Macaca fascicularis: one gene and its partner. The protein of the gene in region 2 purifies or fractionates together with the protein of the main gene of each other region. This does not show direct contact. Links are inferred from orthologs where the notes say so. Each region holds a gene or a part of one and is shown on either strand. Other genes may lie near its edges.

The links.
Region 1: the proteins of SLC39A7 (region 2) and FAM174A purify together in Homo sapiens (co-immunoprecipitation; 3 studies listed by BioGRID and IntAct, with this or other methods). This does not show direct contact. The link is inferred for Macaca fascicularis from reciprocal best matches to the Homo sapiens genes SLC39A7 and FAM174A.

What each region holds. Positions count from the first base shown.
Region 1 is NC_088380.1:106,952,950-106,957,482, forward strand, and holds the start of FAM174A (membrane protein FAM174A), read left to right. Parts: upstream 1-1,432; 5' UTR 1,433-1,618; coding exon 1,619-2,052; intron 2,053-4,533.
Region 2 is NC_088378.1:138,501,104-138,505,363, forward strand, and holds the start of SLC39A7 (zinc transporter SLC39A7), read right to left. Parts: upstream 2,827-4,260; 5' UTR 2,778-2,826; intron 2,472-2,777; 5' UTR 2,468-2,471; coding exon 2,057-2,467; intron 1,969-2,056; coding exon 1,800-1,968; intron 1,642-1,799; coding exon 1,588-1,641; intron 1,451-1,587; coding exon 1,286-1,450; intron 1,154-1,285; coding exon 1,013-1,153; intron 805-1,012; coding exon 608-804; intron 175-607; coding exon 1-174. Other genes in the region: RXRB (retinoic acid receptor RXR-beta), read left to right, coding at 3,239-3,473. UniProt on the Homo sapiens protein: Transports Zn(2+) from the endoplasmic reticulum (ER)/Golgi apparatus to the cytosol, playing an essential role in the regulation of cytosolic zinc levels.

The DNA of each region.
Region 1 (4,533 bases), on a different chromosome or scaffold from region 2:
AAGTGTAAGGGGGAAAAGGAATAATGAGAGGTGTAAGTGTGTGTATGAGTGTGTGTGTGTATGTGTGTGTGTGTGTGTGTGTTTCTGGCTCTCTCTCTGTATATATCTATATCTGTCTCTCTTTTAGCAATGAAAACAATAACTTACTCAAAAGACCCACGTATACCCCACGTATACCTTGACAGGCCACTTCTAGTTATCTGCACAAACTGAAGTTCCGTATTACCCAAGTCAAAGAGGCAAGGAAGATATTATTGAAGACTACTGCTGTCAGGAAAGGGGATAGAACTCTTCTAAGCTCAACTCCTCTAAAAGAAACAAAGGAGTGCAGAGTTTTTAACAGCTATTTTGGGAAGATCATGGGCCACCTGAGTTTTCTGATTGACTTTACCCAAAGGAAAAGTAAATTTTCTCTTCCATGACAGGGGGTGGTTTTACAACTGGAAACGAAAAGCCTACAGCAGTTAGGCTCCTATGCTCTCACACAAAATAAGAGATGGCCCACTATCTTCCCTGCTGATTACCTTTCAAAGTCATGGCTTTCCATACCATACCCTTGAGATAGTTTTCAATTACAAAACTGGCCAGAAGCTTTAAAAAATATTTACATCTGAAAAGGGAAGAGAAAGAACTTACAACGGTAAAGTTTTCTAAAGTAAATGCTCTTCATATATATATATGCACACACACACACACACACATATATGTATATACACTTCAAGTTCTACGGTACATGTACACAATGTGCAGGTTACATATGTATACCTGTGTCATGTTGGTGTGCTGCACCCATTAACTCGTCACTTACATTAGGTGTATCTCCTAATGCTATCCCTCCCCCTACCCCACGACAGGCCCCGGAGTGTGATGTTCCCCATCCTGTGTCCAAGTGTTCTCACTGTCCAATTCCCACCAATGCGTTAGAACATGCGGTGTTTGGTTTTCTGTCCTTGCAATAGTTTGCTCAGAATGATGGTTTCCAGCTTCATCAATGTCCCTGCAAAGGACATGAACTCATCACAAGTAAATGCTCTTTAGAAAGGGAGGTCAGGGATCCATAGGCAGGGAAAAAAGCCTGCTTAAAGCTTGTAATCAAGCTGAGGAAAACTAAGCCCTTCTGGCTTACAGATTAAATGTGTTATTGCAGTTTGACACGAATGAATTCAGAAAATGAGTTTCCAGTCTCTCTGGGTTCCTGCATGAGAGGGTTGCTGTACATGTTACACAATCTCTTTTTGTCTACTTACTTTCTTAATAAGCATCCTTGACCGCTCCTCACTAACAGTGAAAAGTGCAAAGCTTTCAGAACGCTCACCTCCTCGCTTTTTACACAAGTGCGCTTGCGCACTAGGCGCTGGGGCTCTGACGTCACCAAGTGCACCCTGCCCCTACCAGTTAGCAACCGAAGGCGTCCTTAGCAGCAGTGGCCGCTGAGATGTACGAACTTCCGGTCCTCCAGGCAGCTGCCACTGCTATAGCCTCTGCCACCTGCCACGACCGGGCCTCTCCCTGGCGTTTGGTCACCTCTGCTTCATTCTCCACCGCGCCCATGGTCCCTCTTGGAGCCAGGGTGGCGGGCGCGGCAGCTTCCGGGTGGTGAGAGCGCGGTCCGGGAACGATGAAGGCCTCGCAGTGCTGCTGCTGTCTCAGCCACCTCTTGGCTTCCGTCCTCCTCCTGCTGCTGCTGCCTGAGCTAAGCGGGCCCCTGGCAGTCCTGCTGCAGGCAGCCGAGGCCGCGCAAGGTCCTGGGCCTCCTGACCCTAGACCACGGACATTGCCGCCGCTGCCACCGGGCCCTACCGCTGCCCAGCAGCCGGGCCGTGGTCTGGCTGAAGCTGCGGGGCCGCAGGGCTCCGAGGGAGGCAATGGAAGCAGCCCTGTGGCCGGGCTTGAGGCGGACGATCACGGAGGGAAGGCCGGGGAAGGCTCAGTGGGTGGCGGCCTTGCTGTGAGCCCCAACCCTGGCGACAAGCCCATGACCCAACGGGCCCTGACCGTGTTGATGGTGGTGAGCGGCGCGGTGCTGGTGTACTTCGTGGTCAGGACGGTCAGGTGAGGCAAAGCCTCGGTGGGGCACCCCCGTGGGCCTGAGATACGCAGGCCAGTGATCTCCAGCAAGGCTGACTTCTGTGACCCTATACCCTTCCCCAGCATCAGGGACTCGTGCCTAAGAATATGACATTGACCTTCTTAAAGGCCTGTTACCTTTGGAGCAGTTTAAACCTATAACTAATTGCTGCCATTTGTTTATAAATTAGTGCCTTACCTCCAAATCTCTTCATCTGACCTATGACCCACGTCAGCCTCAAAGGACACCCTTTCTCTGAAGTGAAGATAATCTTTATTCCCTAGAATTTTGACTACTCTGTCTTGTAATATTTCTACTTTTCTAGTCTACATTTTTGTATACCTAACTGGTCAAAATTGTGCCTATCAGAATGCAAACTCTTGAAAGACATGATATCTATTTAGTAGGTTTGTGAGTCTTACAAATTATTTGTACAGTGCTGCCACTTAATAGGAAATCAATATATATTTGAGTGGATTAATAGTAATATGGGGGTGCCTTATGGATATTTTATTTTTATAAAATTCAGGAGAAGAAAAGTTCTTCCTTACTATCAGTGTTTCCTAGTGTTGGCCTTTAATCTGCCACCTAAGTAATTCACTTATACCTAATTAGTTGAGAATCACCTTCCTGAAGATTTGACATACAGAGCCAAGACCTCACCATTAGAAGCCAGCAAAGACACAAGGTGAGGGAAAGCTGTCTAGCAGTTTCCTTCATTATAACATAAGTGTAGAGGGTAGGTTTGCAGATTGTGTTTATTGTTTTCAAAATTACTTCACGTTTTTCCCATAATTACCCTCTGTATTGTAATTTAACATATTTCTTTAAACTGATTATTTAAAACCAAACTTTCCTTTTAAACAAGTCGTTATTATCATGAGTGGAAAACCAACATCACCATCACTTGACTGGTTAAAAAATAGTGTAAGCCAGTAGTTCCTGACATGTGGGCCAGGGAACCACACAGTTGGGAGTTTCACTAGACCTCTTCAGGGGACCTACAGTATTAAAACTATTTTCAAAATAATACATTCTGTTACAGGCTTATAGGGTACAAATAGTTCACTGATATTATTTCAGATTCCACATTGCAACTAATCTTTAAGACACTGCTTGTCAAGCTTTGGTGTAGTAGTATCATAAAGGAATAACCACTCAAATATAAAAAGGCTATTACAATGTTTCTTTCCATTCCAAATTTATATCTGTGTGAAGATGGAATTACTTTATATGCTTCAACCAAACAACACATTGCAAAGGATTTAATGCAGAAGTAAATATAAAAATCTGTTTCCTATTTTTTGTTTCTATTTTTTATCTACTCCTATCACTTTAAGTCAGATATTAAAGGGAATTGGAAATAAAAATCTAAATGTCATTCTTTTTACCTTTTTTTTTCTTTTTTGAAAAATAGTTGTTTTTCATAAAGGTTATGTTAACCTGTAATGTGCTTACTATTATTTTAAATCAGTTGATACGTATAGGTTTTCTCAAGTTTAATTAATATGTTAAAAGTTGACATGTGTAATTCACATAAATATAAGTTCTTTTGAGTTCCTGAACAATTTTAAGAATGTAAAGAAATCCAAAACCATGAGTGTAAGCAATATTTGAGAACCACATGTGTAAGCAATATTATTTGAGCTAGATATTGTTGGTTCACAAAGGCCAGCAAATCTGCACTCACACTCTAAGTGTTAAAAGAATATTGCCACCAAATTGAAACTTTCTTCTTAATGTAAAGAAAGATTAAAAGAATATTGAAACAAATTATTTTCCTCACTATATAACTGTTATTTACTGCTGTCTATATATATTTTCTATAAAAATGCATGGCCCCTTGAGTGTTATATCTCTTATACATGTAAATTATAGAATAATGATAATTTGGGGGGAATATTCCTTGCTTTTTTTTTTCTTTTGCTTCCACCTTTTAAATAATTTTAAATACACATATTTATTACCTTGATTTTCTGTCATTATTGTTGTAAAACTTGGACAGATACAATCTTTCCAATCTGATCCTATTGCATGATTTGGTAACATGATGTGTGTTAACAGCCAAATTCTGAACTATGGCTAATAAAAACTGCATTCTTTAACCAGCATCTAACACATTCATGCAGTCCAAGTCCTACATTTAGTTGGCTGCCTGGCATCCAAAGCTTGAATGATGCTAACAGTGTCTGCGCAGTGTTCAGAACTCACACTTTTTGCTTCCAGATTATAGTTTTCTTCATTATCTTGGTGAATGCTCATTTTGGCTACCATTTTCAAACTATGTATGACAGTGCACTGAAATTAGTTATTTGTGCCAAGCAAGAAGAATGGGCCAAAATCATTATTTTCTTAACTGATTTGAGGTGATGCAGAAAAATATTTTACTTGTAAAATTTTATTACATCGAACCACATGAGACTTTCAAATAGTTTTGTTAATCTAATTCATTTAGTGAATACGTA
Region 2 (4,260 bases):
GGGCAACACAGACACTGTTGCTACGTAGATAAAGCCACCTGCAGTAAATGGCAGGACCCAGCCAGGACCTGCACCACCTGCAACTTCACTGCCCACTGCTCCTCCTTCAGTGAGAAGGGCACAGGCTGTGCCTGCCAGTGCCCCTACTGCTGTCAGTAGTTGCAGACGCATTGCCTGATGGGCAGAAAAGAGAAAAACGCACTCACCAATAGCTAAAGATTATCAGTGGTTTAGAAGTGGCTGGTGGGGTGTAGGTATAGGGGACATGGATTTGGAAACTAAACATCAAAGTAAAAAGAGAGGAGGGGGCAGTCTAGAATAGACAATTTCTGAAAAATCTTAGCGATCAGAGGTCCTTTCCAGACTTTCTGATTGAGTAGGCGTGTGTGTGTAAGACTCCACTAAACCATTCAGATGGTTTATAGACCACAGTTTAAGAAATACTGAGCTAAAGGACCAAGTAACCAGAACTTCTTTCCCCTCATTTCTAGAGGACTTGTCAATGACAGTATGAATTGTTTGGAACTAACAAGAGGCTGTTTGGGTTTAGGGTGAGTGAGGAGAAATAAAGGGTTTGAGGTAGCTGTGTTTGGCAGACATCACCAACCTGCTTTTTGCTGCAGCCAGACTGGACCAAGATGGCAAAGTCTCCGACCTCATGGGGCACTTCATGTAGCAGGACAGTCATTGTGGTCAGGATCCCTAGCCCCCGACCCCCTCGAAAGGAAGCCCCAATGGCCAGACCATCAGTGAAGTTGTGTGCCAAGTCAGCAGCCAGATTCAGGTACCCTGACACACGCAGATCTTGTACAGGACGAGAAGAGAAAATGATCAGAGGCCTCCATCACCACTTGTTCAGTCTTGGTCAGTTATTCTCACACCTCCCCTCAGAGACCACTTCACACCCAGTCTTTTAGTGTTTCCGAGACACCTGCCATTACCCACAGCACATATTCCATGTGATTTGTGATGATGTCCCTTGCCCAAATTTATGACCAACTCTGGCCCTTACCTAAGCCTCTTTTTTCTTCTTCAGCATTCTGAGGTCTCACTGGCCCATCTTTGGGTACCGTGCTCCCTCCTCGCCTCTTCTGAACCCCCCCTGTTTCCTTTTCTTCTTCTTCTGAGCTCTGCTTCTCCTTGTTAGAACGCTCTGAGGGAAGAAAAGAGTTAGTCAGCGTGGAGAACAGATCTTCCAACATGTCCTCTCCCTCCTGAGGGCCGTAAGATGAGGAGACTCTGAGGCAGGCAAGTCAGCTTTCGGGAAAGTTGTTCCTGGGCTCACCTTGTCTTCCATGTCCATGACTTCCATGTGTGTGACTGTGAGCGTGTCCATGTCCATGACTGTGACCATGTCCTCCTTTCACATGTCTCACAAATTTCTCCACAACAAGAAAGGCAACAATTCCACTGAGAACCCACAGTCCCACAGACAGAATGGGGCCCTGGCCTGGGAATGGAGGCATTGAGACATTAAAGGAGATGTGCATTACAGACTCCTCCTCCTCAAGTGCAGGAGGTGAGGAATAGGGAGAGACAGACCTTCCCCAGCACCCCAACTCCCATCCCCATCTGTCTCTTCCTCACCACTGTGGGAGTGTCCATGTCCGTGTTGCTCCAGAGTGTGGTGAGAATGAGGTTCTGGAAGATGGGGGGAAAACCAGATGAGGGAATATCTGACACAAAGGGTGTATATTTGGGGGAATATCGAAAGGTCAGGGATCATAAAGGAGAAAGAACCCTTTTCCCCCAAAGAACAAAATAGGTTAGATTTGAGGTAGAAGTCAGAGGTTACTTACCAAGAGCATGAGGAATGAGGTGCAGGAAGGCATCTCCCAGGAGGCCACCGGAAGCAAAACTGAGCAAGATCTGAAGTAGAGAGCGATGCCGGGGGGAGTTTGACTCCACGGGGATAAGGAAGAGGACAAAAAATGGAGCTGCTGAGATCAGCACTGTGGCCCCCAGTGCCTGGTGAGGGAGAGTCAGGGTCAAGTACTGTGGTGTTTTCCAACAATCCAGAACCAGCCCCTCTCTCTCCCATCCCCTGGAGACTCACATAAGCCCAGAGAGTGACAGCATCCAGGTCCTGCTTGATGCCTGGAGCCCCAGACTCCCCATAGCCTCCATGGCTATGCTCATGGTCATGTCCATGTCCTCTGTGGAAGAGGCTCTCATGGGAGTGGCCATGGCTATGGCCATGGTGTAAATCCTCATGTGAATGTCCATGGTCGTGACCGTGGGTATGTCCATGCCAGATGCTCTCGTGAGTGTGGCCATGGCCATGGGCATGGCTGTGTCCATGGTGGAAATCTTCATGTGAGTGCCTGTGACTGTGGCCATGGAAGTCCTCTTGCAGATCGTCGTGCAGGTCGTCATGACCCGCGAGTCCAGCCACCAGAAGCCCCAAGGCCGCCCAGGTCAGCAGTCCCACGGCCACCCAGTGGGGGGCCCCCAGGCCTCTGGCCATCACGCTGACCAGAGGGACAGAGACAGTGACTCCACTTGACTCAACTCTATACCTACACAGGGTCAGCTTTACTCCAATAGCGCCCTCCGTCCACCTCTATGGGCCGCTCTCCCATTCCCTTAAGTTCCCACCTACCTACATTGTTCCCAAGACTAGTTCTCTTTATCCCGAACCCCCTCCCGGATGTAGGGCCCTGGGACACTAGTCTTTCACCAGCCACTTTACAGACTCTCTGGGCCCTCGTCTCTATGACTCATTAGGTAAGGAAAAGGCCTAGAAAGGATGGTAGAGAAAAACAGAGAATTCTCACCAGCTCCGGGATCCTCTCCTTTCCCGGTTTGCTCGGACGTGGCAGTCCCGCCTTTAGCTCCCGCGAGAACAGGAAGTTCCGTTCCACCTTCGTCCTAGTGCCTTTACCAATATGGCGGTACTCTTGTAGCGACGAATCCATCCTGCACTGATGCGCATGCGCGAGTGTGGAGGTTATTTGAGGGGAGGGTGGGCAAGGCGGGCTAACAGGCCGGAGGAGACCGCCTCCTCGGTTTCCAACTAGACGAGGGGGCGGGAACTCGCGCCGAGACTTCCCGTCTGTACAAAGATGGCTGCCACATTGGCGCTGTCATTTTGGTACAGAGCAGAGCGACGGGCTTAATTCTACCCAATCCAGGCCAGAGTCTTTCTCTCAGGGGCTTCTACGTGCTCAGCTACTCCTCCGATCAACCCCTGGGAATCCCTGGGAGCTCTTCGGTATCCCTACTCTCAGCCAGGGATATGTCTTGGGCCGCTCGCCCGCCCTTCCTCCCTCAGCGGCATGCCGCAGGGCAGTGTGGGCCGGTGGGGGTGCGAAAAGAAATGCATTGTGGGGTCGCGTCCCGGTGGCGGCGGCGACGGCCCTGGCTGGATCCCGCAGCGGCGGCGGCGGCGGCGGTGGCAGGCGGAGAACAACAAACCCCGGAGCCGGAGCCGGGGGAGGCTGGACGGGACGGGATGGGCGACAGCGGGCGGGGTGAGTGTCCCAGCAGAAGGGCAGGCGAGCCAGTAACCGCGTTATCTGCAACCCCTCCCCCACACCCTCCTCTGGTTTTCCTGGCGCTCCCGCCCCCTTGTTTGTAAACACGCGTCCCCTCCCTCCCGAGGGCCTTAGCACCCTCCTCCCCGGGGCGGGGCGGGGAAGGGGAGCTTCCGCCCTCCTAACCGTGACCGCTTGAGGCCTTGGGCACCGGAGGTCGCGGGCGTGGGAAGGGCACGATTCCTCTTAAGCTTCAGAACTTTGGGCGTTTAAAGGCAGATCCTGCGTCGTAGGAGGGGTCTCTCCCGCCTATCTCTTTCCCCTGCACGCTCTGGCTACCTGGCTTTACGCTGGGAATAGAGGGGCTCGATGGTCTACCCCACGTGTTGCCCCACCCACGAGACAGGTGTGGCTTTAGGATGACCTGGTATTCAAATAGATCGGTTGGAAAATTTTCCTCACCTGAACTATCCTCCTCTCCTTGTCACCTCCCTCCTCTCACCACAATGAGGAGTTATGCTGTGTTTTTTTAGCCAGTCAAATATAGCAGTGGGGGGTTGTATATCAATTTTAGTGACACTAATGTTTATTAATAAGTTCTGATAACCCACTACCATCGGACCAGCCGGAGTTACACAGTTGTTTGGCAGCAGGGTGTCTCTGGACTTGGGGATGGGTGGAGTGGGCTGGGTCCGGCACGGTGGGGTATTAGAGAATTAAAGTCTCTAGTTGGATGTTTGAAGACTCATTTTCTTTTTTTGTCTCTTCTGTCTCTTTTGTGTCT